5 linked regions of the Macaca fascicularis genome follow. The protein of the gene in region 4 interacts with the protein of the main gene of each other region in a pairwise test. Links are inferred from orthologs where the notes say so. Each region holds a gene or a part of one and is shown on either strand. Other genes may lie near its edges. The genes, in order: C1QBP, CHD3, RACK1, HABP4 and YBX1.

Evidence for each region.
Region 1: the proteins of HABP4 (region 4) and C1QBP interact in a two-hybrid assay, tested with the Homo sapiens proteins (2 studies listed by BioGRID and IntAct). The link is inferred for Macaca fascicularis from reciprocal best matches to the Homo sapiens genes HABP4 and C1QBP.
Region 2: the proteins of HABP4 (region 4) and CHD3 interact in a two-hybrid assay, tested with the Homo sapiens proteins (3 studies listed by BioGRID and IntAct). The link is inferred for Macaca fascicularis from reciprocal best matches to the Homo sapiens genes HABP4 and CHD3.
Region 3: the proteins of HABP4 (region 4) and RACK1 interact in a two-hybrid assay, tested with the Homo sapiens proteins (2 studies listed by BioGRID). The link is inferred for Macaca fascicularis from reciprocal best matches to the Homo sapiens genes HABP4 and RACK1.
Region 5: the proteins of HABP4 (region 4) and YBX1 interact in a two-hybrid assay, tested with the Homo sapiens proteins (2 studies listed by BioGRID and IntAct). The link is inferred for Macaca fascicularis from reciprocal best matches to the Homo sapiens genes HABP4 and YBX1.

What each region holds. Positions count from the first base shown.
Region 1 is NC_088390.1:5,501,983-5,507,628, forward strand, and holds the start of C1QBP (complement component 1 Q subcomponent-binding protein, mitochondrial), read right to left. Parts: upstream 3,299-5,646; 5' UTR 3,204-3,298; coding exon 2,972-3,203; intron 2,389-2,971; coding exon 2,238-2,388; intron 1-2,237.
Region 2 is NC_088390.1:7,922,106-7,927,740, reverse strand, and holds the start of CHD3 (chromodomain-helicase-DNA-binding protein 3), read right to left. Parts: upstream 3,487-5,635; 5' UTR 3,350-3,486; coding exon 3,190-3,349; intron 3,053-3,189; coding exon 2,976-3,052; intron 2,850-2,975; coding exon 2,631-2,849; intron 2,075-2,630; coding exon 1,903-2,074; intron 1-1,902. Other genes in the region: NAA38 (N-alpha-acetyltransferase 38, NatC auxiliary subunit), read left to right, coding at 4,018-4,098, 4,284-4,467, 4,639-4,751; TMEM88 (transmembrane protein 88), read right to left, coding at 5,401-5,635.
Region 3 is NC_088380.1:188,336,633-188,342,482, forward strand, and holds the start of RACK1 (small ribosomal subunit protein RACK1), read right to left. Parts: upstream 3,531-5,850; 5' UTR 3,427-3,530; coding exon 3,318-3,426; exon of another isoform or gene 3,306-3,317; intron 3,031-3,305; exon of another isoform or gene 2,963-3,030; intron 1,979-2,962; coding exon 1,807-1,978; intron 1,525-1,806; exon of another isoform or gene 1,446-1,524; intron 1,331-1,445; coding exon 1,183-1,330; intron 1-1,182. UniProt on the Homo sapiens protein: Scaffolding protein involved in the recruitment, assembly and/or regulation of a variety of signaling molecules. Interacts with a wide variety of proteins and plays a role in many cellular processes.
Region 4 is NC_088389.1:126,613,951-126,619,882, reverse strand, and holds the start of HABP4 (intracellular hyaluronan-binding protein 4), read left to right. Parts: upstream 1-1,938; 5' UTR 1,939-2,071; coding exon 2,072-2,423; intron 2,424-5,932. UniProt on the Homo sapiens protein: Ribosome-binding protein that promotes ribosome hibernation, a process during which ribosomes are stabilized in an inactive state and preserved from proteasomal degradation.
Region 5 is NC_088375.1:192,171,740-192,176,882, forward strand, and holds part of YBX1 (Y-box-binding protein 1), read right to left. Parts: intron 3,867-5,143; coding exon 3,777-3,866; intron 3,449-3,776; coding exon 3,146-3,448; intron 2,915-3,145; coding exon 2,832-2,914; intron 1-2,831. UniProt on the Homo sapiens protein: DNA- and RNA-binding protein involved in various processes, such as translational repression, RNA stabilization, mRNA splicing, DNA repair and transcription regulation.

The sequences.
Region 1 (5,646 bases), on a different chromosome or scaffold from region 4:
TGACACAATCTGTCTGATTCCAACTGTGCTGACCAAGCTGAGCTCCTGGGCACAGAAATGGAATGATGTTCGTCAGAGCATTATTTTTAATGGCCCCCAAATAGCTATGAAAACCTTGTGCAAATGGTTTTTAGGTGAGATTACAGAAGACACAATTGACCTGTGTAGGGAAAAACCACACTACACAATAGCCAAGAGAATTGGTACCCTACTTCACATCATACTCAAAATGAATCACAGACCTCAACTAAGAGCTAAAACTAGAAAACTCTGAAAAAATTAAGGCATAAATCTTCACAACCTTGGGCGAGGCAGTGGTTTCTTAGATGTGACACTAAAAAAAGCACAAGCAACCAAAAAAATAGGTAAACTGAACTTCCTCAAAATCAGAAACTTTTGTGTCAGAGGGCATTACAAAGAAAGTGAAAAGAAAACCCACAAGATGGGGAACAATACTTGCAAATCATTAATTTGGTAAGATCACTATACCCAGAAAAACTAAAGAATTCTTTTTTTTTTTGAGACAGAGTCTCACTCTGTCGCCCAGGCTGGAGTGCAGTGACGTGATCTCGGCTCACTGCAACCTCTGCCTCTGGGCTTCATGCCATTCTCCTGCCTCAGCCTCCTGAGTAGCTGGGACTACAGGCGCCCGCCACTACACCTGGCTAATTTTTTGTACTTTTAGTAGAGACAGGGTTTCACTGCATTACCCAGGATGGTCTTGATCTCCTGACCTTGTGATCCACCTGCCTCGGCCTCCCAAAGTGCTGGGATTAAAGGTGTGAGCCACCGTGCCCGGTCAAAACTAAAGAACTCTTACAACCCAACAATTAAAAATGTAAACAGGCTGGGCAGGGTGGCTCACACCTGTAATCACAGCACTCTGGGAGACCGAGGAGGGCGGATCACGATGTCAGGAGTTTGAGACCAGCCTGGCCAACATGGCGAAACCCCATCTCTACTAAAAATACAAAAATTAACTGGACGCATGCCTGTAATCTCAGCTACTCAGGAGGCTGAAGCAGGAGAATTGTCCGAATCCGGGAGGCAGAGGCTGCAGTGAGCCAAGATCGTGCCACTGCACTCCATCCTGGGTAATAGCAAGACTCCGTGGGGTGGGGAGGAAGCTACAAATTGTATGATTCCATTTATATGAAATGTCCAAAAGAGGCAATCCATAAAGTAGCTTAGTGATTACCTGGGGTGGCTAGAGGGAGGAATAATGAGTGACTGCTAATAGGTATTGTTTGGGGATTGACAACAATGTTCTAGAATTAGGTAGTGGTAACCGATGCATAATTCTGTGAGGACTAAGAACCACTTAATTTAATAAACTTCAATAAATGGGTAAATTTTATGCCATATAAATTAAATCACATTAAAGCTGTGATTTTAAAAAAGAATTACATATACATCATAAGGTCAATTATAAAGAAAATTCAATTTATTTATTTATTTATTATTTTTTTGAGATGGAGTCTTGCTCTGTCCCTCAGGCTGGAGTACAGTGGCGCCATCTCGGCTCACTGAAACCCGGGGGTTCAAGCGATTCTCCTGCCTCAGCCTCCTGAGTAGCTGGGACTACAGGTGCTTGCCACCACACCCTGTTAAAATTTTTAGTAGAGACAGGGTTTCAGTGTTAGCCAGGATGTTCTCGATCTCCTGACCTCATGATCTGCCGTCTCTGCCTCCCAAAGTGCTGGGATTATAGGCGTGAGCCACTGCACCCAGCCTCAATTTAAAAATCTGGAAGATGACAAATGTCTATCTGTGTAATGAGATTATGGATGACTATAATGCAGAAAAGTGTAAACACTAACAGTTTAGGAGAAGGTGGGGCACCTGACTTAGGTCACAAACTCCCCGCCTCTGATGGCAGCCCTTACTACAGTGGAACCCCATCCTGTTACATATAAGTTACATGCCTTGCATTTTCACCCAAGCTAAACATTAGAGAGAGCAGGGTGCTACTGTATCAGCGCTGTAAATCAGAGATCAAACAGATTCTGTCAGTACTTTTTTGCGCTACATTTTTGTCTCCTTAGTAACCAGCCCACAGCAAATTTGTGTTCAGTGAATGGACTGCCTGGACCTTATGAAGCTGTCCAATTGAATCCTTCACTCTCTTGAAAACCATTTATCCACACCTGAACTCAAGGCTCTTCTAGGGATGACCCAGGACGGGTCTTGCAAGGTTAAGGGAGTCGGTGCCCTGGGATCCCCAGACCAGTACTTACTTTTCCCCGGCAACTTTCCGCACTAATTTCGCTTCTGTCCCATTCAGTTCCAGCTCCCAACCTCCAGACATCTTAGGGAGGGTTTTATGCTTCTGGATTTTTCTTTCCTCCTCAATTTCATCCTTCAGGAAATCAACAAAAGCTTTGTCTCCTAGAAAAGAAATCCATATACATAAAAAGGAAAGCCAGTTAGTCTAAAACATAAAACTATTACCCTGGTTATCGCAGCCAGAAACCTGGACTATTTCTAATCTCTCTGCTATTACAGTTACTCTAGAAGCCTCAGTTTCCTTATCTGTAAAAATACCATAATATTAGTGGGAAGCTGAGCCTGATGCTGGAAAAGTGATTTCCAACAATGAACGCATTACCACTTTCCGCTATAAAGCAGAAGAATTTCCGATCATCCTCTTCCACTTGCCAAACGATAGTTGTATCGTATGCTATTTTCAAACACGACCTTGGGCTTTCCCAAAAGTCCACTTTCGAGAGAATAAGACTAAGGATGAAGGTACCCTCTAGTATTTAATTTTATTCACCCCCCTACCAACAGAAAATGAAACTGGTGGATAGGGGAGGTGGGGGGAATATGATCACACGTGGGTTTAACCCGCTGGTTGCCAATCAATGGAAAAATGTCCCAGACCTCGGAGGTCGGTTGCAGGCCCCACTCCTGGTCTTTTCCCCTCCGTGAACCGCAAACCACACCCCTGGCCCGCGTGCGCGAACCTCACCTTCAGTGTGCAGCAAGCCGCAGCCACAGCCACAGGCGCAGGGTCCTCGAGGCCGCAGGAGGCCCGGCCGCCGCTCGGAACCTGCGCGCACGCTGAGCAGCCCGAAGGGCCGGGCGCACAGCCGGGGCGCCGGCTGCAGGAGCTGCCGGAAAGGCGAGGCGGGCGCGGCAGCGCGGAGGCTGGGGACGGCGGAGCCCAGCACACGAGGCACGCAGCGCAGCAGAGGTAGCATCGCGCAATCCACTGCGAACACGTGCAGATGCAAAGGACAATCCAGGCCCAAGTACCCCGCGACCTAAAGCGCCGCCGGAAGCCCCGCCCTTGCCCGGAAGCGCTTCCCGCGCCGGCGCACTGAGGACCTAAGGCCCCAGGCGGAATCGCGCCTTCTGCTGGAGGCCTCCGGTGCAGCCCGGGAAGCCTCGAATCCGGTTTCCGGAGCCTTCTTGCTGCGCTGGCCTGAGTCCTCTGTCCGAAGCTGTTTAATTCTTTCTAGTGGCCGCTTCCACCTACTGTTTTCAAGGCACGCCAGGCTTTTGGGCTGTGTGGAATGCACTCTTGTCTTCCCCCAGCTCTCACCAGCCCCTTACACGGTCACTTTCCTCTAGGAGGCTGTGGTGTTATATTATGTATTTATTGGTTTTCATCCCCAGTTCCTGGGTCGTAACTCCCATAGCCCTCGTTACAGTGTTCTGTGATAATGTTGGGTGTGTTAGGCCTCAGGAAACAGACTCTCACTCTCCCCTTCTCCCGCCCTCCTTTCACCCGCCCCAATGCAGGACTCTAATCTCCCACATTTCTGATTATGGGTCTTAAGTCCCTTCCCAGAGAAGGTCCCACCCTATGCCCTGGGGGAAGGGATGCTGATGTCCAGAAGCTTCCATAAAAACCCATGAGGACAGGGTTTGCAGAGCCTCTGATAGCTGAATACGTGGAGGTTCCTGGAGGGTGGTGGCCCAGGGACGGCGAGGAAGATCGGAGCTTCTTCCCCACTGCCCACCCTGCTCATCTCCTCATCTGTATCCTTGGTAATATCCTTTATATGAAACCGGTAAAAGTGTTTCCCTGAGTTCTGTGAGCTGCTCCAGTGAGTTAATACAACCCAAAGAGGGGGGTCGTGGGAACCCCCACTTGAAGCGGGCTGGTCGGAAGTTTCAGAGGCCCAGACTTGCCATTGCTGTCTGAAGGTCGGGGCGGTCTTGGGGACTGAGCCCTCAACCTATGGGATCTGACACTGTCTCATGGGATCTGACACTGTCTCCAGGTAGATAATGTTGGGATTGAATTGGAGGACACCCCGCTGGTGTCTGCTGCTTAGTGTGGAGGGAAAAAACCCAAACCTTTGGTCACAGAACTCTTCTGTGCTGATTGTTGTAAGAGCAAAGGAAGAGGTCAGGGTTTTCCTGAAAGAGGCCTTCCTAGAACCTCCTTTTTTCCATCGGCTTAGAACTCATGCTTGTGCGCACCCAGCCCTTAGGCTTCATTCTCTTCAACAGAAACCTCCTGGCATTGCTGGTTTTAACCGGGTTAAACCCAACCAGACTGTGACATCCTGAAGGGCAGGATCCATGAGTAATTTCTGTGACCTTCCCTCTCTGCACCTCCGACCCTGCATCCAAGTTCTAATGGAACATCATTTTTCTGGGGACAAGAAGCCGGCTTGTATCATTTAGATAGGTCCAGAAGCTTCCATAAAAACCCAAGGACAGGGTTTGGAGAGCCTCTGATAGCTGAATACGCGGAGGTTCCTGGAGGGTGGTGGCCCAGGGAGGACGTGGCAGCTCGGAGCTTCTTCCCTATTCCCCACCCTGCTCATCTCCATCTGTATCCTTGGTCATATCTTTTATACGAAACTGGTAAAAGTGTTTCCCTGAGTTCTGTGAGCTGCTCCACTAAATTCATAGAACCCAGAAATGGGGTTCAGATTTAGATTAAGAACCAACAATCCTACCTTCCCAGGATATACAAGCTACTAAGAAGGTGTGTCTTACTAACTCATGATAAGACTAACACTTAATATTTTCTAAATAATTTTCTATGAATAATGGAAAAGAGACCCAAGAAACAAGCCATACACATCATATACAAGATTCATTTTTAATGGATTTGATCGTCGAGTGCAAATTTGAGCATTATTTACAGGAGCTTTCTGTAGAGTTATTTCTGTTCAAATAAAACCAGACTCTCAAAATACAACATACGCCTGAACCTACTTGACTTTTTTTTCCCTCCCTCTAGTTACCAAGGAATATCATATCTCAGATGCATGGCCTGCTATCACACTGGTCTTTAAAGAAAATAAAAAAATGCATGGCCATAGTTCCAGGCAGTTCCTGGTAGCTGGATTTAGTGGATTTATATGACAGTACAGTACTTCATCAGTTTTACCCACAGGGCAAAACTCGCCTCCATTCAGGCATCTCTTTACAACTGGCAGCAATGCAGCATTAAGGGTTTGTAGCAGGACCTGCTGTTTGCAGTCCTGCCCCTTGTCGTGTTACTCTGGGTGTTGCATACTCCATGATTACTAGAAGACAGACACCTGAGGCATGTGATCTGCTTGGAGTGCATCTATTTACATGAAGCTGCTCACGGGAGCTGGTGACTCTTCCAGATACGGGTTTCGTAGGTTGGCAAAGAGGTATCATACCATCAGATTTTACCAATTGAAGAAGAGT
Region 2 (5,635 bases), on a different chromosome or scaffold from region 4:
TAATTGAGCAAACAAGGTACACGTAATTGCAGAGTTGATTAAAGATCAAAATGACTGATTTAGATAATTCACGGACTCCTGCATTCCATGGGATTAGATTTAAATCCTCCACCTCACAGTAAATTCAGATAACTGCTGAAGCCAACAGTAATGTTTCCTGTTCATGCCTCTCATAGCCCCTCAGAACACCTATACAGCCCAACGGCATCTCACAGGGGTCACCTTCTCCTGCGCTGGGCCCTGATGCCCCTGCCAGAAGGCACACTGAACTCCTCCTGATTTGTGTTTCGCTTGCTGCTGCCAGGAAGTTCACCTGCCTGTCATTCTCAAATCTCCCCTCCTTAAGTTAAAGGAGACCAAATCTAGCCGCTGCCCCCAATAGTGGTTCTCTTTTGGTCACCAGGAGAGTTTTCTGACTGACTTAACATCTCTCTTTACATTACCCCTGTCAAGTTCTCTCTTTTGGAGTCACCATCTTGCAACCCTGTCTTCCTCATCTTCTCCAAGTGGCAAACTGCCTCCTTTTTCTCCCTCACCAAAGTGTCACTAATTTGCTGGCCTTTTCCCCACTCTAGTTTTCCTTCAAGTTAGTAAATACCCACCTCTTTGCCCCAAAAAGGTCAGGAAAGAAATTTGGGGTATGGGATTAACAAGGAAGTAGCCCCAATAGCTATTGCTTAGCTGACACTTAGCCTTCCTTGCCTCCTCTTCGCCACAGGAGAACTCTGCAAACTCCCAGAGACAATAACTGCTAACTGTACAATAGGACCACAGTTTCCTATTGTGCAAGGAGCCTAGGAAAAAGCCACATCCCAAATACTTGCTCTGAGAACAGTGGTTACAAATGTTAACATGAGATTAGACATGGAGATGGTCCCTTTATATTGAGAGAACATGGACTTTGGAGTTGGGTAGACTTGAATTTGCATTCTGGCTCTAGTGATACTACCTAGTGTGCCTTTGAGCTATTAAACTTTTCAAAGTTTCAAAGGACTTATCTGTAAAATAGTAATCCACCTTACAGGGTAGTTGCCTTGAAGAGGCTATTTGGGAGGCTGAGGCAAGAGGATCACTTGAGCCCAGGAGTTTGAAACCAGCCTGGGCAACACAGTGAGACTCTGTGTCTATAGAAAATTAAAAAATTAGGCATTGTGGCGTGCACCCAAAGTCCCAACTACTCAAGGCAGAAGTGGGAGGATCACTTGTGCCCAAGAGCTCCAGGCTGCAGTGAGCCATGATTTTGCCACTGCACTCCAGACTGGGTGACAGAGCAAGACCCCTTCTCTTTGTGGGGGTTGGGGGGAGAGGGTATATGAAGTACCCAGCATAATATCTAGCCTGAATTGCCTATAATGACTCACTTCCTTTCTTTCCCTTGGGTTTCAGCTGCCAAATACTATTCTACAAGTAAGATAAGCCAGCTTTGTGTGGTCAATGATAAACATTTCCTATTCCTGTCTTTGTAATTCCCATCTTCCTGCAGACATCTCATTTCCATCATTGCCAAAAAAGTCCTTCCATCCCTCACCCCTGTAGAATTACTCTCTCTTAACTATCAAACAGTTCTGCCTGAACTCTGACTATCCTCTTCTACATCTCCCTAAACCAAGATACTTGATCTTCTTGTATCATTCCTAAAGATTAATTCACTGATTTTCTCAGAGCAAATTGTAATGAAGGCAGGGAATAGGACCTTTACACTTCAGAAGGGCACAGGCTAGCTGCTAGAGAGGAATGGAGATCTAGGCCCAGGCACCCCTCCGCCCCACCACTTTTCGTCAAGGCACAGAAAAAGCCAAACTCGAAATATGTCTTGAGTGTACATGAGTGTACGTCTCCTTTCCTACAACTCTGTGAGATCATCATTGAAGTACAGAAGTATTGCAGGTGTGTGAAGTGTACCGTCCATATTGAGATAGTCAAATTCTTCCTCCTCATCCCGGATCCCATTCTCTTCCAGGGTAAAATCCATGTTCAGGTTCTTCCCTTCATATTTCCACGTGTAGCTGGCAGCATGTGCATTATAGGGGAGATAGCGGTGTAGGATTTCCCATATGGACTCCAGAACCCCCACCTGGAGAACACAGAAGCACCCCACCCCCAGAATTCTGGATGGAGTATACACATATACACACTAGGATCAAAGTGCCTCCCTTGGCAGATAGCAGCTTCAGGTAATCTACGGCCCCAGAAAAAAAGCTGAAACTCCAGCATGCAATGAACAGGCCCAAAAGACCTACAGCTCTTAATGGCAGCCACTTCTAACTACCAGATGGCCATAAAGGGTCAAGTGTCCCCTCACTATATCCGTGCAATAGAGTAGATTAAAAAGAAAGTTCAATTGCTGTCCAAAACAGCGTGTAAGAGTTTTGAAGGACCACCATCACTAAGATGCATAAACTGCTGTTCCCAGGCTTATAAAGGAGTCTCTTGTCCCCGTGTGACCCAGACACTCCTAGAATTACCAACCCTGGGGACCTAGGTGCTGTGCTTTCCTCAGTTGCCTCAATGTAAAGGGCAGAAAATACACTCCCACTGGTTATGGAAAAAAATGTTGCCCTGCAGATCGGCCTGGAGATTTGCTGGGATTCCCCATTCCCTCTAACCTGCTCCTTGTCACCAGTTCTCACCTCCAGTGTGTGCTCCTGCGACGTGAGTGTGTTAATGATGCGGATGCTCCGGGTCTTGGCAGACAGCCGCCCCACCTCATAATACGACCCCTGCCACCAGGGCTTCCCAAAATCGTTGGCCCAGTCCGAACAGGGCAGCTGAGGCGGAACGTGCACAAAGCGACCCCGCGGGGTGCAGTACCTCAGGCAGCCGGTCAGCGGATCTATGTGCTTGCGGATCTTTAAAGGAGGGTTTGGGGCGAGGGGATCAGAGCAGTCATTATGCTCTGGCTAGCCTCCGCTTTTCCTTCCCATCCCCGCTCTCCATTGCCTCTACCCACAACCCCAGATTTCAGCATAACTCACGTCTTTGGTCTTTGGATCAAACCAGTGGCTGATGTCCTGGCCTGCAACTTCCACGATAGGTTTCAGCAGCAGATTCCCTTGAAAAGAGCAGCCACGGTCAATGCCAGCCCTTCAAGAACCAGGCAGACGCGCGCGCGCGCCCGCACACACACACACACATACACACACACACACACACACACACTCCGGCCCCGGCCCAACGTGTGACCCTTACCCTTGTATTCCTGTGCCAATGACGTTAGGTCGTACACGCGTCCCAAGTAAGATACCCAGAGGTCTTCGGGCCTGTTATGTTGGGCCACCTCCGCCGGCGTGAAATAGCGACGCTGAAAATACTCCAAATCTGGCCCAGCCACCAGGCCCCGGCGCGGCATGGCTCTTGCTCTGTCAGTCACTGGCTCTCTTGGTTACTCCTTTGCTCCTCAGCACGCACTCACTACTACTACGACCTCCGTCGCCTCCGGGAGCCGAGGGGAGAGCGTTTATCCGCTGACATGGAAACCATTGTCCTTTTCCGGCCACCGTCCACTGAGATAAATATCAGGGGGTGAGGCTTGGACCGCACGTGTTCACGGGAAACGTAGTATGAGTCCCACACGGGGCATATAAGGATCAAGTAATTGAGTTGCGCCGCTTTCAGGAGTTGGGGGTGGGCAGAAAACGAATACGCTCCGTTTTAATTTAGCGGCCTGGGCTACATGGGATATTTATGACAGACTATCTCTCTGAGACAGAAAAACAAGGGAGGAGGCAGTATGAGAGTGTATTCTCGCTAAATTCCAGAGTTTCTAAAGGATGTGTAAGAAAGTAGAGGTAAAGGTCTCGCGATATCGTAAGACATCCGGCGTGGTACGCTTCAGTGAGCCACAGCGCTAGAAGTAGGAGAAGCTCGCGAGATCTCTGCCGTTGCCGAGGAGACTAGGAGGTGGAGGAGAGGTGATCTCGCGAAAGGAAAGCGGTCGGGAGCGCTCGCGAGATCTCGGACCACCCAACCTGAAAGGTGCTTAGGAAGTTGAAAGGCCCAGAGGAGGCCTCCGGGCAAATGGCCGGAGCTGGACCGACCGTGCTGCTACGAGAAGAGAATGGCTGTTGCAGTCGGCGTCAGAGCAGCTCCAGCGCCGGGGTTAGCACGGGCTCTGGTTCTGGGATTGAGGGGCAGTCGAGCAGCAAGATGGAGGGGGTGGGGGAACTGCAGCTCCCGGCAGCCTCTGGGCGTTGTGTGAGCGCCCCGCGGGCTGCCGGGAGCTGTGGTTCCGCGGGCGGGCAGCCGGGACTGCGCGGTCTGAGCGCTTGTTCCACCCCGCGCAGGATTCGGACGGAGAGCGCGAGGACTCGGCGGCTGCGCGCGCCCGGCAGCAGCTAGAGGCGCTGCTCAACAAAACTATGCGCATTCGCATGACAGATGGACGGACACTGGTGGGCTGCTTCCTCTGCACTGACCGTGACTGCAATGTCATCCTGGGCTCGGCGCAGGAGTTCCTCAAGCCGTCGGGTCAGTGCCTGGGGAATGCACACCCGCCTGGAAATGTGGCGGAACCTTACGCAAGGCATTTCCCCTTCAGGGCCTGGCTGCAGCCCTTGTTTTCTGGGGCTCGTTTTTGTGGCTCAGAGGGGCGGTACTGATGCCGGCCTGCTTCCCTGATCCTCTGATCCTTCTTTCCAGATTCCTTCTCTGCCGGGGAGCCCCGTGTGCTGGGCTTGGCCATGGTACCCGGACACCACATCGTTTCCATTGAGGTGCAGAGGGAGAGTCTGACCGGGCCTCCATATCTCTGACCACGGTGGCGCATACTTTTCAGACTTCATTAAACTTACGACCGAATGGACCTGTGTCTGTGTGTAGCTGGGATGCCAGTACAGGGATAGGACACCCCACCCCTAGAGGAAAGGACTCATCTGAAGTCGGGAGCACCCTCAACCCTCCTCTACCAACCGGGATGTCCAGGGGTGCCAAAGGTTCTCTCAAGTTCAGGGGTAGAGATGGGGGACAGGGCTGAATGATGCACCAACAGGCCCCAGGGTGGGCCCCTGCATCTTCCCTCCCACGCTGCTGCTCCAGAATTGTGGCGGGAGGGGGTGTCATCCTGCTCCGGAAGGCCCATTGTTTCCCACCCCGGCCTGGCAACACCGAGTTCCTTTAAGCTGGGGTCAGAGAACGGGCTCAGGTCCCCAAGGGGAGCAGGGGCAGGCGGCCGAGGCTGGGCCCCCTCCACTCTATTGATGGGGAGGTGCCTGGGGTCAGGGACAGATCTCTGAGTTCTGGCCAGGAAGAACGGACAAAAGCGATAAGGCCAGGGGGCTGAAGGATGCTCCTCTCTGCTCATTTGTGGCCCTGGCACATGTTTCCTGTTCCTCGGCACAGGGCAGGGGTGATAGTACTTGTGCCACTCCTGTGTTTGCAGAGCACGTTGAGTTCGTTAAATCTTTATTGATGCGTGGACACTCCTTCCCCTCCAGCCCCGCCCCCCAGCCCCGGAAATACTGGAGGAGCTGCACCATAAAAGGAGGGCACGAGATTGTTGTCCCATTCACGACGGGGCTGAGGGGAAGGTGTGCAGGTTCCAGCCCAGATGTTCAGGATTGAGATGTGGGTAGTGAAAGGAAAGTGGGTTTTCCGGGATGTGGGGGCTTTCCTCAGCATTGGGTCCACTGACGCTGCT
Region 3 (5,850 bases), on a different chromosome or scaffold from region 4:
CACAAAAATTCACCGGGTGTGGTGGTGGGTGCCTGTAATCCCAGCTACATGGAAGGCTCAGGCAGGAGCATTGCTTAAACGCAGGAAGCGAAGTTTACAGTGAGCCACGATTGTGCCATTGCACTCCAGCCAGCGCAATGAACGAGTGAAACTTTATCTCAAAAAAGGGCCAGGTGCGGTGGCTCACGCCTGTAACCCCAGCACTTTAGGAGGCCAAGGTGGGCGGATCACGAGGTGAGGAGATCAAGACCACCTGGCTAACACGGTGAATCCTCGTCTCCACTAAAAATACAAAAAAATTAGCTGGGCATGCTGTAGTCCCAGCTACTCGAGAAGCTGAGGCAAGAGAATGGCATGAACCTGGGAGGCGGAGGTTGCAGTGGGCCAAGATCGCACACTGCACTCCAGCCTGGGCAACAGGGTGAGACTCCATCTCAAAATAAATAAAAATTTTTATGGATGGGGTCTCACTGTGTTGGCCAGGCTGCTCTCCTGTCCTCAAGCAATCCTCCCACCTTGGCCTACCAGAGCATGAGCCCAGCCAAGACTTTAAAAAGGCAGAGAGCCGGGCACGGTGGCTCACGCCCGTAATCCCAGCACTTTGGAAGGCTGAGGCGGGCAGATCACCTGACGTTGGGAGTTCGAGACCAGCCTGACCAACATGGAGAAACCCCATCTCTACTAAAAATACAAAACCAGGCGTGGTGGCGCATGCCTGTAATCCCAGCTACTTGGGAAGCTGAGGTAGAATTGCTTGAACTCGGGAGGCGGAGGTTGTGGTCAGCTGCGGTCACGTCATTGCACCCCAGCCTGGGCAATGAGCAAAACTGTCTTTAAAAAAAAAAAAAAAAAAAGGGTAAAGATATGCAGGCCATGGTGGCTCACGCCTGTAATCCCAGCACTTTGGGAGGCTGAGGCGGGCAGACTGCCTAAGCTCAGTTCGAGACCACCCTGGTGGTGCGCACCTGTAGCACCAGCTACTGTGGAGACTGAGGCACCAGAATCACCTGAGCCTGGGAGGCAGAGGTTGCAGTAAGCTGACACAGCGCCACTGCACTTCAGCCTGGGCGACAGAGTGAGACTGTCTCAAAAAAAAAAAAAAAAAAAAAAAAAAAAAAGTAAAGGTTAAGAGAGTGGGAGAGATCCTTGGAGATGTGCTCTCTGACCATGGCCTCACTTTACCTGGACAGTGTATTTGCACACACCCAGGGTATTCCATAGCTTGATGGTTTTATCTCGAGATCCAGAGACAATCTGCCGGTTGTCAGAGGAGAAGGCCACACTCAGCACATCCTTGGTATGGCCCACAAATCGCCTCGTGGTGGTGCCCCTAAGAGGGAGGACTTTGTCATTCTCAGACTTAACAAACATTCTCATTCAAGGGTCAGACTGATTCCTGGGCCTTGTCTCTGTCTCATTGCATTACTCACACATATATGACAGAGAATCCCTTCAGAATTGCAGGACATGTCCTCACTCCCACATGGGGATTGGCTGACAATGTCATCTGTCATCACCAGGACCCTCTAATTCCACCTGCCAATCACCTCAGCTTTCAAGGTAAAACATGTTCAAACTGCTGCCTACTCAAAACTGTCGCACCTGGTAGAAATGTTCAACCACACTCCTCAGCAATCCTGAGTAACTAATTCAAAGCGAGGGAGGCCAAACATCTTCTGTAGGTGCAGTCTGCTTTCCAGTTCCCAAATGGACTGGATCTCCCCTGGGAAACCAGCCAATTGCATCCACCACATTTCTGCCCAGATTTTTTCCCAAGGCCCCAGAGCTAAGTGAGCAGCTACTTGCGTTGTGAGATCCCAGAGGCGCAGGGTTCCATCCCAGGAGCCTGAGAGGGCAAACTGGCCATCTGAGGAGATAACCACATCACTAACAAAGTGGGAGTGACCCCGCAGAGCACGCTGTGGAATTCCATAGTTGGTCTCATCCCTGGTCAGTTTCCACATGATGATGGTCTTATCTAAAAGCGGCCAAACAGAAGAAAAACCAGTGAGGAACCCGCAGCCAGTTTGTTAACACACTGGATAATTCACTAAGTGTCAAGGTCATGAGTGGGTTAACAACTAAGGATGCTTAAGGAGGGATGGAACAACAGACTACAAGAGCAGTTACAGGCCAGGACTGAGTGGCTCTATTCCAGACTAAAAACGCACGCAGAGCTAAACTGTACCGTGATAACTCTTTTTTTTTTTTTTTTGAGATGGAGTCTCACTCTGTCACCCAGGCTGGAGTGCAATGGCATGATCTCGGCTCACTGCAACCTCCACCTCCCGTGTTCAAGCAATTCTCCTGCCTCAGCCTCCCTAGTAGCTGGAATTACAGGCCGCCCCCAGCACGCCTGGCTAACTTTTTTTTTTTTTTTTTAAAAACTAGAGATGGGGTTTCACCATTGGCCAGGCTAGTTTCGAACTCCTGACCTAAGGTGATCCGCCCGCCTCTGCCTCCCAAAGTGCTGGGATTATAGCCGTGAGCCACCGTGCCCGGTCTGTATCCTGAGAACTTAATTTAGGTGCCAGAAATTACAGACACCCTTTCCTGAAACTCAGACGAACTCAACAGCCACCACGTATCTTCTCTGCAACCGAATGCACAGCAGTTCGTGGCTGTAGAGTAGCTGGGGCCTCCCATGCCTCCCTCTGAGGGCCGACAGAAATGTTATAATGAATGCTGGAAAAGCCACTTTAGGCGCTACAGGATCGGATGCTTTTACTGAAACCTGTCCCACTCAACAATTTTACGATTAACAGCCAGACACGATTCAAGAGTCACACAATTCTTAACAGTGTAGGAGCAAAGGGGAAGCACAACAAGTGTCCAAACGCAGTCAGGCACACAGGGATAGGGACGGGGAGGGGAGACCCAGGGGCAGAAAAAGTAGGACGAGACTTGAGCCACGAGGTCCTCTGGAGTCCACCCGCCTCCCCACGAGCCTTGGGCCGGGCGGCAGCTCAGAAACAGCCTCTGGATTTCAGCACCGACACTCAGATGGCATGTTGGGGTCATCACCGCCCCGCCCGGGCCGTAGGCCCCCGACCACACTACGAAGGGGAAGGCAGAAGATGTTTTAAAAGTTTCCAGCTCTCCAACCCTAACAGCCACGAGCCGCTCTACGTCTAGGTCCTCATCTGCAATGTGGCTCGCCCGGGCTGAGGCCTAGGCTCGCGTCCGCACGCCCCAAATCACAGTGAGGCAGAAAAGTTTGTCAGTCCCCGACAGCGCGCGCGCCACCGGCCTGCCCGAACCACGCGGAATCCCCCAGCCCTGCAATCTCGGGTCCTGAAATCTACCTTAGTCCGTACCTCGAGAGGCGGACAGGATCATGTCCGGGAACTGCGGGGTAGTAGCGATCTGGGTTACCCAGCCGTTGTGGCCCTTGAGGGTGCCACGAAGGGTCATCTGCTCAGTCATGGCGGCGGCGAGCGCGTGTGTCGCTGCAGCGACGAGGATGGCACTGGATGGCTCAGAGAAACGAGCAACACAGCCGCTACCGCCGCCGCCTTGCAGTGAAAGAGAGAAGCCCTCTGCCGGAACCGGAAATACCCACTCGACCAAGTAAAATGGCGAGCCCCATGATACACTTCTGCTCAAGATGGCGGCGCCATGTAATGCAAAAGGCAAAGGGAAATTGCACGGCATCACAGTCCCCACTTCCGTACAACATAATCTGACAGCGCTTTATAAATACATTCTGAAACAAGCACATTCAAGTGTTTAAAAAGGCTTCTCAGGGATGATGTAGAGCGAGAAGCGAAAGAGGTGAAGTGTACGGCACATTCCCATGAGGACTCCCTGGCGGCTTCCCCGCCCCTATGTGGCGTAGCTCGAGCTCCGCCTGTTCCACTTGGTGCGGGGAGGGTTGACGGGGCAACCACAGGAGAGCTTAATTTTCAGTTCACTATCGTGGGTAACGATGGGCAATTTAAAAAAGTATGGCATTAAAATTTTAAAAATAAACTTTAAAACTGTGCTTCCGCGGGACCGTCCTCCCTCAAGAGGTTTTTGTTCTGATGCACACCAACTCCGGAAGGACTTAGTCCAGGCTGGACTAAGGCAGGAGAGGGTTACTCTGGATGTACTAAAAATTGGTCTCTTTTTGCCGGGCGCAGTGGCTCGTGCCTGTAATCCTTCCACTTTGGGAGGCCGAGGGGGTGGATCACTTGAGGTCAGGAGTTCGAGACTAGCCTGGCCAACATAATGCAACCTCTTTCCAATAAATAAATAAATAAATAAATAAATAAATAAATAAATAAAATTAGCCAGGTGTGGTGGCGGGTGCCTGTAATCCCAGCTACTCGGGAGGCTGAGGCAGGAGAATCCCTTGAACCTGGGAGGCGGAAGTTGCAGTGAATCGAGATCCCGCCACTGCACTCCAGCCTGGGCAGTAGAGCGAGACTCCGACTCAAATAAATACATACATACATACAATAAAATAATAAGGTGAAAATTGCCCTGTGTGTTGCTAGACTGCCAATCCATTCCTGCCTAGGTCAGAACACGGGAAGCTCTCGCAGAAACGGAAACGCCCAAAGGAGGACCTTAAAGTTCTGACTTCTGGGGACATCCACTGGAAAGCTCTCTCTGGGCCCAGTCACTGCACACAAAAGCCCAGGCGTCTGGGGGTCCAGTTGCACCCTGAAGGACGTGCCCAGACAGGGAAGCGGTGGAATACGGATACCTAGCTGTCCTTCTGCCTTCCACTCTACCTCAGGAATTTAAACAAGTAATGACTCTCATTCTCTCACATCTGACTATAAGAGACAGTATTGGGCACCGTGTCTCTTCAAGTAGTTTTAAACAGGGGGACATATCAGGATGATAGCAGCCACCAACATCTATGCAAAATAAAGATGTCACATTTCTATTTGTGACATCTATCAACTTTTGTTTCTCATCTGTGAAATGAGATTGGAAATAACATTAGTATCTACATTACATGGTGTGGACAGTAAAGAAGCAAATTAAGCGCCCTGAACAACGTCTGGCAGAGTAAATGTTCTGAAACTTAGTGAGCACCTCTTGGGTACCAAGCCTTATTTTAGGTTTTGGGGACAAAGCTGTGAACAAGACAGATGGGGGACTCTGGTTTATTTGCAGCTTACTTCCGGCGGTATGCGAAGAGGGGAGAACATTGGAGCAGATACACGGAGAGAGCACTGTGGGTATATGGGAGAATAATGTTCCGTGGAGGGACGTCGTGTAGGGGAAGAATGTTTCAATCGGAGGGAAGAGTTAGTGCCAACGTACTGAGCTGGAGTGTGGAGGGGCTGAGGACAGAGCAGTGAAATGGAGGGCGCAGTTAACCTACGGCCTTGAAGGCCTGGAGAAGAACCTTGGCAATGTCTGCTAGAAAGCCTGCGTAAAGGCAGAAGACAGGCGAGGGACGGTGGCAGAGCTGCCGCAGGCTGTACACGCCCAGGTGTGCAGAGGCCTGGATCCCTCCCTGAAACAGCTTGCTCAACTGGTCCATGGCAGATTCCCCTGCCTTCCGCCGCAGTCTCTGTCGGGCCCCGCGGAACGCTGTCCTGGCTGTGCTCCTCCGCAGCCTGTGGACCATCCTAAGGCTCCAGGTTTGTACATCACCTGCCTTCTTGGCACCCCCAGCTGACTGTTCTTTCGCTTTTCCAATACAAGACGCAATCCCGACCCAGGTGTTTTGTTTCTGTGGTGGTCGTGGAAGACCCCTGCCTTCACCCACCCGCTAACCAGCTTGCTGCCCCCGACTCGGGTCACGCCAGCCCCTCCCTGAGCCCTCGGGCGCAAATAGGTCAACGACCACACCCGCCTCCCGCTGTGGACTGAATGAGATTCGCGGTGCGAGGGGTTCCCGGGTTG
Region 4 (5,932 bases):
TCTGCCTTTTGGCTATTGTGAGTAGTGCTGCTGTGAATATGTATATACAAGTTTTAGTTTGAACACTTGCTTTTAATTCTTTTGGGTAGAAAGTATAGGCATTAATCTTTGCTCACTCAAAAGGAGGTGACCAAATATCTTAAATTCTTCAATCATTCAACAAATATTTACTGAAAACCTACTCTATAGCCGTCTAGAACTCCAAGCACTGGGAATAATACATACTGCAATGAATAAGACAGGCATCATCCCTGTCCTCCTTGGGAATAACACAGAATTCAGTAAGTGAGTAAAACACAGACTTTGCCGCGTTTAGGATTAGGAATTCCTTTTCTATTTGCTATTAAAGGAAAGTAAAAGCTGGTCACAGAGCACCTGGCAAGATGCTCTAACTGGATGCTTTCAGATGAAACAAGCAAACACAACTAAGCGCAATCAATCTGTTATCTTACATCATAAGCCTCAAGCGGGGAGGTTCCCAAGTGGGTCCAGTTGGCAGCTTAACATCATCAAGGATCTAGGCTTTCTCCATCCTGCTCTGCCATCCTCATGGCCACACTAAGGAACAGCCAACCTCAGGCATCATATCTTCTTATGGAACAAGGACCAGGGAACGGAAGTGGGGCAGATCCCTTCTCAATCCCTTCTTAGGTGCAAGAAAAACTTCCCCAGAATACTTCTCCTCAGATCTGTTCTGCCTGATTTGCCCCACAGCCTATTCCTAAGCCAATTATTGGCAAGGAATTGGAATCAGGTGCAGTGAATTATAATCAAGTTGGAGGCTGGAAGGGGCCTGCTTCCCCTGGGGAATATGATGCCGGAACATAATACAGGCTCTGGAAAAATGTAAGAGGGAAAGAATGGCTGTAGGATAGGCAGCCAAGCGTAGCTCCACTGGTGCCTATGCAAGATTTCCTGGAGGAAGTCCAGTCCAGCGTTCTCTAAGCTCCAGGCCTCAACTGAACATCTCAAAAGAAAACAAATATCCAAACCTCAACGTGTCCAAAACTGAATTCATGATTCTCGTTAAAGTAGTGTCTTCCAGTGGTGACTAATACTACCATTCAGATGCTGGAGCCAGGAAAATAAGAGTCACTATATCTTCTTCTTCATCACCACATCTAGCACATCACCAAGTCTTTGAACCCATCTACTCTCTTCACCTCCACCGCCACCATCCTAATCCCAGTCATTATCAGCTCTTCCCTGGAGCTTCGCAACAGTCACGTTTGGCTTCCCAGCATCCATTTGTATTTCCCTCCAAACTATTAGTTCACTGTGCAGGTAGGGTGGCCTTTTCAAACCCAAATCCGCTCATGCTCAAAACTTGCTTCCCACGGCTCTTAGAGACCACTTTGAGCTTGAACAGACTGTGCACATCCCACCTCAAGACTGCTGCACTTGCTGTTCCTCCTCCGACCCCTTGTCACCCCCCTCCCTCGGCTTAACTGTCACTTCCCAATTAGGTCAGGTCCCTTTGCTGCAGCCCGTGGAGAGCTCTGCGCCTGTCCTTCAGGGCACTTTTTCTCCATCCACAGACTCAGATCTGTGACAACACGGAGCTAGTATTTCCTACAACATCACGCCTGGCACACGGTAAGTGCGCAATATGCAGCTGTTGCACGGCTAAATGTATACATAAGCTTCAAAGCAGAGTGGCCGAGAGCAAATACAGACGCAGTCACGGGAGAAGGCACACACCGCCGAGACACCACCGCCACTCCGCGCCGCCTGGACCAGCCAGTAGCTCCGCCCCTGGGCCCCGCCCCTCCCTGCTGAGCGGAGGGGGCGGGGCTCAGAGGTCGCGTGACGTGACAGCAGCCGGTCGGTGATTGGGTCTCCAGGCGCGCCGTCTCGGGAAGGGGGCGTGCCCGCGCGCGCTGATTGGCTGCCTGGCGCGGTGGGGCGGACGGCGGCGGCGCCGCGGGGGCGGGCGGCGGGAGGGGCCGGACCGGGTAGGGCCCGGAGGGCGGCGGCGGCGGCGGAGCGGGCGGCATGGGTCCTCGCCGCCGGCTTCGCTGAGACGCGCTCGCGTGGGCTGCCCTCCCGGGCCCGCAGTGGTCGCGGCGGCATGAAGGGCGCCCTGGGGAGCCCCGTGGCCGCCGCCGGCGCCGCGATGCAGGAGAGTTTCGGCTGCGTGGTGGCCAACCGCTTCCATCAGCTGCTGGACGACGAGTCGGACCCGTTCGACATCCTGCGCGAGGCCGAGCGCCGGCGCCAGCAGCAGCTGCAGCGCAAGAGGCGCGACGAGGCGGCGGCGGCGGCGGCCCGGGCCGGTCCCCGCGGCGGCAGGAGCCCGGCCGGGGCCTCGGGCCCCAGAGCCGGCGCGGGCGGCCGGAGGGAGTCGCAGAAGGAGCGCAAGAGCCTCCCGGCGCCCGTCGCTCAGCGGCCCGACAGCCCCGGGGGCGGCCTGCAGGCGCCGGGTACGCGGGGACGGCGGGGGTAGCGGGCCACGGCTCGCCCTGCGGAGAGACTGGGGTCCCGGGGGCCGGCTCCAGGAGGGGGGACCCGGGAGGAGCCGGGAGAGTTGAGGGTCCCGGTGGCCGCCGAAGGTAGGAGGAGCGGGGCGGGGGTCACACCCCTTCCAACCCTCGCCGGCCGCGTGCGGGGCCCCGGGGGAAACGCTGGCTTGGGGGGGTGGGGCCCCCGAACCCTGGCTCGGAGCCGCTACGGCAAGTTGGACGAAGTTGAGGGAGGTTGCCGGGGTGGCGTGTGGGGGCGAACGCTGAGGTCGCTACTCCGGGACTCCCGCATCCAGACCTGGCGGGGACCTTCTCCAGCCTCCAGCCCCGCCTCTGCGGGAGTGAGGTCGGAGCCACCCGAGAGCGCGGTGGGGAGGAGGAGGGCGCCCGGTCCCGGGGCTGGGGGCCTCTGTGATGCGGGCGGCCTGGGCGACCGCGGGGCGGCCTGTGACGTCGGGGCCCGGGCGCGGGTCCTCGGCGCTGTCCGGCCTGGCGCCTTCGCCCCTTCCCCGTCCGGTAGCTTCCAGCAGGCAGCGGGCATCGTATTTCAGTACTTCTTGTGGTGCTGATGGGATGTGCAACTTATAAATAGCTCCAGGCTGCTTTAAGAAAAGCGTTTTTAACCTTTCCAGCCAGAATATCCGGAGTTCCCCACTCTCTGTTTAGCAAGAAAAGCCAGTGCGCAGCGTGGTGTCCTGCTGCCTGCGGACGGGGAGGGAGTTCGTGCTCTCACCTGAACTGCGTCAGTGGCAGAGCCAGCAACGCTCCACCTGTGCTTCCTCTGTTTTCTTGAAATGAGGCAGCGGTCCCAAGGTTTGCAGAGCGTTAGGAGTGAGATGTGTAGATTGACCATTCCTGCCAACGCTTGGCGGAGTGTGCAGCGTGGCTTGCTGGTTTGTTCCTTGCTTGATAAAAATTGTGCATCGCAGCCCTGAGGAAACGTCTCAGGTTTCAGTATTGGGGCTTTGATGCGCAGCTGGGTAATGTTTACCTTTGTTTGTGAAAAGTTAAATCCAGAGTCATCACTTGTGAGAATCAAGTCACTACAATAAAGATGTTGAAAATGATTTAAAAAAAAAAAAAAAGTTATTGACTATCTCACGAGCCTTTGATAGGCCAGTAAATTTCTGAGCAGATTATCTAAACAGACTGGAGATACATTGTGCATTTTATATCCTGTTTTTTATGTTTTTCTCTTAAATTTATTTACATGAATATAATAAAAGAATTGAGGAAGGCTAAGCTTTTCTTCACCCTTTATTTTTTCACAAATGAAAATGCTGGGCGCGGTGGCTCACGCCTGTAATCCCAGCACTTTGGGAGGCCAAGATGGGCGGACCGCGAGGTCAGGAGATCGAGACTATCCTGGCTAACACGGTGAAACCCCGTCTCTACTAAAAATACAAAAAGTTAGCCGGGCGCGGTGGCAGGCACCTGTAGTACCAGCTACTCGGGAGGCTAAGGCAGGAGAATGGCATGAACCCGGGAGGCAGAGCTTGCAGTGAGTCGAAATCGCACCTCTGCACTCCAGCCTGGCGATAGAGCGAGACTCCGTCTCAAAAAAAAAAAAAAAAGAAAAAGAAAATACGTATTCTGTTCTTCAGAAAAACGTGAGACGAGTTAGTGCTGTTAATACATTGATTTTTAGCCTTTTAAAAATTGTCATGCATTTTTGTATTAAAAATTTTAAGCAATTCCAAAATGTATGAGGTTAAGTGAAAATCCTCTTATTTTTCCTACTGTTAACACTTTGCATTTATATACATAAATGCACAGAGCTATTTCTTTTCTTTCTAAACTTAAGTGATATAAACTGGGTTGCAACCTGTTTCCTGCACTTAATGTTGTCATGTAGTACACTTATAACTTTTTTTTCTGTCAGTTGTTCAGTCTAAGTGATCTGGCTTTTGAAATCAAAGGTATTTAGTTGATTTTGTAGTTAGAATGGAAATTTTATCATTCAAGTTCTTTTTCAAGTATGTGTTATTTCAGGAGCAAACAGCTCATTAATTTCCATTTATGTAGTTACTGTACTAAATTTATCTATAATGGGTGTCAAAGAGCTATTCTCTCAAGGTTTTATAGCCCTAGTTGATATGAAGCACTGTACTTTTCTAACATTCAAAATTTTTGATTTAGTTAGAATGTTGTAAGTGAATGCTTAGCATAGACAAAAATAAAACATGTTTGACATATCATAGAAATGTTAATCCTGAAAGAATGTGGAAGTCACAAGCTTTTCCTATGGAAAAGGGTTGTTTTTTTGTTTGTTTGTTTTGTTTTTTTTTTTGAGACAGAGTCTTGCTCTGTCGCCCAGGCTGGAGTGCAGTGGCATGATCTTGACTCACTGCAACCACCTCCTGGGTTCAAGCGATTCTCCTGCCTCAGCCTCCTGAGCAGCTGGGACTGCAGGCGCGCGCCACCATGCCCAGCTAATTTTTGTATATTTTTTACTAGAGGCAGGGGTTCACCATATTGGCCAGGATGGTCTCGATCTCTTGACCTCATGATCTGCCTGCCTTGGCCTCCCAAAGTGCTGGGATGTGAGCCACCGTGCCTGGCCTAATTTTTTGTATTTTTAGTAGAGATGGGGTTTCACCATGTTGTCCAGGCTGGTCTTAAACTCCTGACTTCAGGTGATCCGCCTGTCTAAGCCTCCCAAAGTGCAGGTGTGAGCCACGATGCCCGACCAAAAATGTAGATTTTTAAATGTCTATCTGTCTAGCAATATATATAAACCCTTGGGTGAGCCTTGCTCAATAAGTTCATTCTTTTTTTTTTTTTTTTTTTTTTTTTTTTAAGACGGAGTCTGGCTCTGTTGCCCAGGCTGGAGTACAGTGGCCGGATCTCAGCTCACTGCAAGCCCCGCCTCCCGGGTTTACGCCATTCTCCTACCTCAGCCTCCCGAGTAGCTGGGATTACAGACACCTGCCACCTCGCCCGGCTAGTTTTTTGTATTTTTTAGTAGAGACGGGGTTTCACCATGTTAGCCAGGATGGTCTCGATCTCCTGACCTCGTGATCCGCCCGTCTCGGCCTCCCAAAGTGCTGGGATTACAGGTGTGAGCCACCACACCTGGCCTAATAAGTTCATTCTTAAAGTCATGAGAGGCTGTTTCAGTTTTGGTTTTTCTAGCCTTTCAGAATTATGTGCTTTGAAACAGCTCAACTTTATTTTGTGGGAAATCTTACTGTAAATTTTATTGTATTCTGTTTCTTTACCTGGGCTTGGTTTAGATGGTGATGAATGCATGTGCCAGCCTTTTCTTGGCGAGGTTAGTGAAATGCAGTGCTTGCATTCTCCACTTGGAGCTGCTGATCCAGCACCGAAAAGCCCGATTCGTGGCAGTGTTGATCTTTTAGTACTAAATTGTGGGGAAAAAATTGGATGCTGATTATCTTTGTTTTGGGAGGGTTGGGAGGGAGAATGGAGATGTTTGCCCAAAACTGATAATTATTCTAATTATCTTT
Region 5 (5,143 bases), on a different chromosome or scaffold from region 4:
CTAAAACTCTTTCCCCACATCTTTTGGAACTCATGATGAATCTTCAACAAAATTGTTCTGACTTTTCTCTGTAACCCTCCAGTGGTGACTGTTCTAACCTTATTGTGGCTTCTAAATCAACTCTCCTAGCTTCTAAAAACTGTAGGCGTTCCATCTTATTTTGGATTCTGCTCCATTTACTATCTTTTTCTTATTGCAGTTATTATTAAGGTTCGAGGATAACAGCTTCTAATAACCTGGGCTTTCAGACCGACCTCCCAGTCCAGCTGTTTTCTACCTGGGTTTTCTCAGTTATACTACCCACCTTTCCAATTATGTACCTTCTGATTTTTCCTAGTTAATTCCTTATTGTTTTCTCATTCTTCATCTAGGACCTGTAATACAGCGATCCTATCACCTGTTCATCTCACTCCAAGGTTGGGCACAGTGGCTTACACCTGTAATCCTAACACTTGGGGAGGATCACTTGAGGGCAGTTCAAGACTGCTTGAGTAACACAGTGCAACTCCATGTCTACAACACAATTTTTAAAAACCCCTCATGTTCCCCTTTTCTCCCCTCTTTATCCAAGTATAAAGTCCACCATTAATCATATGACCAATCCCTACCCCAGGGTCTAAGTCTGGATAAACCAATGCCAGAGAAATCCAACTCTCTGCCCAATCTGAGCCTGATGCTCAAATGGCTAGAAACACAGAGCCAAGCTGGGTGAACTCACTTCTAATTTATGATTGTTATCCTATTACTTACAAATTTACCATCTCTATTTTCTCTGCTACAGGGTTCTTTGCCCCAAACTTTTCAAACTTCCTCTTCTTTTGACTCAATTGAGCAAACAAAGGCTTCCATGTCTTCCCATTAAACATGTTTGCCCATGTATTCTTGTTTCTTACACATGAAAACATCAGGTTTCTAACAACAGGTCAACATTTTCACCTGTGGGCAAAACCCAACTCTCTCTGAGGAAGAAAACATTCCAGCAGTCACTTTCCTGCCATCAACCGTTATCCTCGATTGCATTTCAGCCTATAAATATTATTTCTCAAAAAAAACCCTCCCTTTTTCACTCCCCATTTTCCCCTACTACCTGTCTCCTTTTCAGCAAAACTTGTACTACACTCTGTCTTAAGACTTCTCTTTCAATTTGCTCTTGAACCCACACCAGCCAGGATTTTACCACACCACTCCATGCATTAGGCGCAGCATGTTTCATTTACTCTCATTTGAACAAAAGATTCCTGCAGAGTTTGGAAAGTCTAGCATTCATTAATAACTTCAAAGCAATTATATGTTACTTCTGCTAACTATCTGGCAGGATTGAGCATTCTAAACATGGAAACACGTAGACATTAAGTCTAACTTAAATGAAATGGCAAAAACCTTTGCACTGGAGGGGTAACAATGGATAAAGATACCTTTCTAAGAGACAAGTCAATCTCAAGCTTCTTGTTTGTCAATATAAAAACAATTTGCTCAACAGTGAACTGAAGTACTGAATACAAACACAATATTATACTATTTTTAAGGACATCTATGAAACTAGTTTGGCAAAACATTTAAGCTCTTCAGTGTAACAAAAAGGTAAACCAAAGATTCTGCTGCTGGAACCCATGGACTTAATACATGAGAGCCTATTTTAGATCTACTTTGAAAAATAAAAACCCATCTATCTTCAACATCCAGCATCTGGCTAACACAATCTCCTGGCAGAAAACTGAATCAGAGATCTTCAATTCTAGTAGTGATCAGTTAGGATCCCAGCTCTTTTAACTGAAAACTCAGGACAGGACATATATTAACACAAGAAATATGATGACATCAGCTGCTCTTGCAAAACTCTCAATGTACACGTGCTGATAAGTATGTAATACAACCTCAACTAGATTCCCTAGTTCCTAAAACTACACTAAGTGCTCCGACTTTTGTAAAATTTAAAAACCTATATACAGAAACCCCCTCAAAATATACTCACAGTATATTTTGGATATGTTGGATACTTCTAGAATAATAAACTTGACACTTAAAAATTTGGGGATTTAAAAGTTGTGATTTAAGTGATCAGTTAAGATGCATTATTACTGTATTGGTTTGATTCTTCAGAGGTACCTGTCAGATTTTAGGGATCACCTATGAAAACTTAATACTTCAATAGCAAACCCTCACAGAAAGAACGATTACACCATTCTATCCTACCACCGTGGGACTGGGAACGCTGCCTTAAAGCACACCACAGCATGGACTAAAATACGCTTGGCTCACGGAATTTTTCCTCCATTACTCTAATAATGACATCTATTAATAAGATTTCTAATACCCATTCAAGCAGATAGATTAGTTGTCTAATGATAGACCAGATTTTTCCTCCCAGAATGTAAATTCTTCATGGAGCAATTTCATTTTGCAACTTTGAGCTGACATCCCAACTCCAAAAAAGGGGGGGTACATACCTAAACTAAGAATTAGTGGAAGATTATGTATGCCATTTCAAGTGGTTAACACTTACTGCTGATTCTTCACTAATGCCATGGTACAATTCAGATACTCCTAATGCTTTCCTTTCTCCCTACCGAGGAGGCAGGTTTAAAAGACGTGGTTTAAAATATTATCTTACCTGTTCAAGGATAGAAAATTTGAAATTCCATACCCTCATCATTTAAAAAAAAAAATTTATGTATAAAGCTGACCTCATCTATATGAGCTGTTTTTAACAGGTTCACCTCTTAGGCATCTGATGAAAGGAAACGTGAAGTGTTAACAGAAAAATGAGTCCAAAAGTCTGCGGGAGAGGCATGATATTGCTGAGTTCTAACAGAGGTTTATGTGGACCATACCTGCGGAATCGTGGTCTATATCCCCGATACATATTCTGCCTCACTGGTCTACCTTGTTCTCCTGCACCCTGGTTGTCAGCACCCTGAAAAAGATAATGGAAATCAAGGCTACTGGGTCAGTAACATAATAACCTTACCAGGAAATCCAGAGTTAAAAAACAAACAAAAAATCAGACCATCTAGTAACTGTGACTACACTATAAATTAATCCTGTTAGTTCTTACTAGGAATCAAAGGTGCTTTCCATATGATTAACAGCTCTAAACAGTCCTACCAGAACTTATCACATTGCTGTTGCTGATGGTGAAACTTACCTCCATCACTTCTCCCTGCACAGGAGGGTTGGAATACTGTGGTCGACGCCCATAGGGTCTCCGCATGTAGTAAGGTGGGAACCTTCGCCTGCGGTAGGGCCGGCGTTGTTGGGCCTGGCCTTCGGGAGCACTCTCCGATCCCTCGTTCTTTTCCCCACTCTCACTATTCTGGTAATTTTGCTGGTAATTGCGTGGAGGACCCCTACGACGTGGATAGCGTCTATAATGGTTACGGTCTGCTGCATATTTACTGCCTTGAACTGGAACACCACCAGGACCTGTAACATTTGCTGCCTCCGCACCCTACAAAAGCCATTACATATTGATAGTGACAAAGGAAATCAGAACACTTTCAACAAATTTCAAACAAAGCAAAAAACAAAGTTAAGGAAAACAAAAAGGGGGGTGGGCGACTGCGTGGCCAGGGGTGCACAGAAATGACTAAATATCAGTTCCTCACTGTTCTGAAGAGATTGCCCTCTAACTGCAGCCAGAACATTAGGCTTGATGCACCTGTGTTCATGAGGTCACCTGAACACATCCATCCACATTAGAGCCACCATCCTAACAGATGAGACCTCCAAAATATTTCCATACTGAAGTCAAACCTTTACACAAAAAGCATCCTCACCTTTTCTCCTTCAACAACATCAAACTCCACAGTCTCTCCATCTCCTACACTGCGAAGGTACTTCCTGGGGTTATTCTTCTTTATGGCAGTCTAGTAATATCACATTCCAAAAACAGATTAACAGGGGAGAATAATGTGCTTTTTCATTTAAAATGTACCAGAGTCAATATTATTTTAGCTTGGATATACACTTAAGATTTGCTTTAAATAAGACCAAATCATCAATAAATTTGGGAAAGCAGGGACCACGCTATCCCCAACTTCAACAAAAACACTCCAATCATACAAGGCCCCAGCATTTTACCACTATTTACAAAACTAAAACAAGTAATTTAACACTCAAGACAGACACAACATTTTAAAAACTGCTTTTTGCAAAAGCATTATATGTAATTTTGAACAAATGAGGATCTCCATCTATCCCCTAAAGACTGCACTTAATAGTAGAAGGTGGCCCCACATGGGTCAGTTTAGATGACAGGCGAGTTGGGTTTTGCATGCTTCACAGCTGACCAAACCAACTTTGCCCCTGTGTTACCATATCAAACTCAATTACAAATGTCAACCCAAATCCCTTCCAATCTGATAATACGTCAGTGGAAATGCAATTCACGTGTATTAACTATGTCATTCTTTATATGATCTGACTGCATGGAATTGTTACTTATCACCTCTCCAGCATTCAATAAATCTTGTATTAGAGACTTGTTGCTTCTACTTCTCAGACTGTTAGAAGGGAGGAAGAGTAACATCTCACGTTTCTATGAAATTTTTTTGCAATATTCTTTCACTTACTACCTATTCAATCTCATTATGAGACAGGACATGTGAAAGTATTGTTAATCCCATTTTACAGATAATGTAACAGGCTTTAAAGTTAGGTGACTTGCCCAAGGTCACACAGTTAGTAAGGAGACTTTCTAAACCCAGGTATTGGGTCTCCAAATTCCATGTTCACTCCAAATCCCAGCTATATCCATTACAGGATCACTCACGCATTTCCACTGCAGAGGAGACAGGACAACCAACGAATCTGAGGCCAATTAAGTGAAGCTGCCCAGAACTGCAGTCTCCTTGATACACCACTAAGACCTGAGCAGCCAAAGTCCCAGGAAACAACTACATGTTGAAACCACTTCCAAAAAAATGAAAGCTATTGGTGGCACCTTGTGAATCAGTACAACCGGGTGAGTTGAGTCAAATAATTGATCTCATCTGTCATTTAAACTGTCACATAGTTTTCATACCTTTCATATATAGCCAACTATCAATTACCTGCAGTCATAGGGGATAGCAGAAGTACGGATAATTAAAATCCCAACTCTTTATTTTTATCAACATCTCCAACCCCTGCCCCAACCCCAACC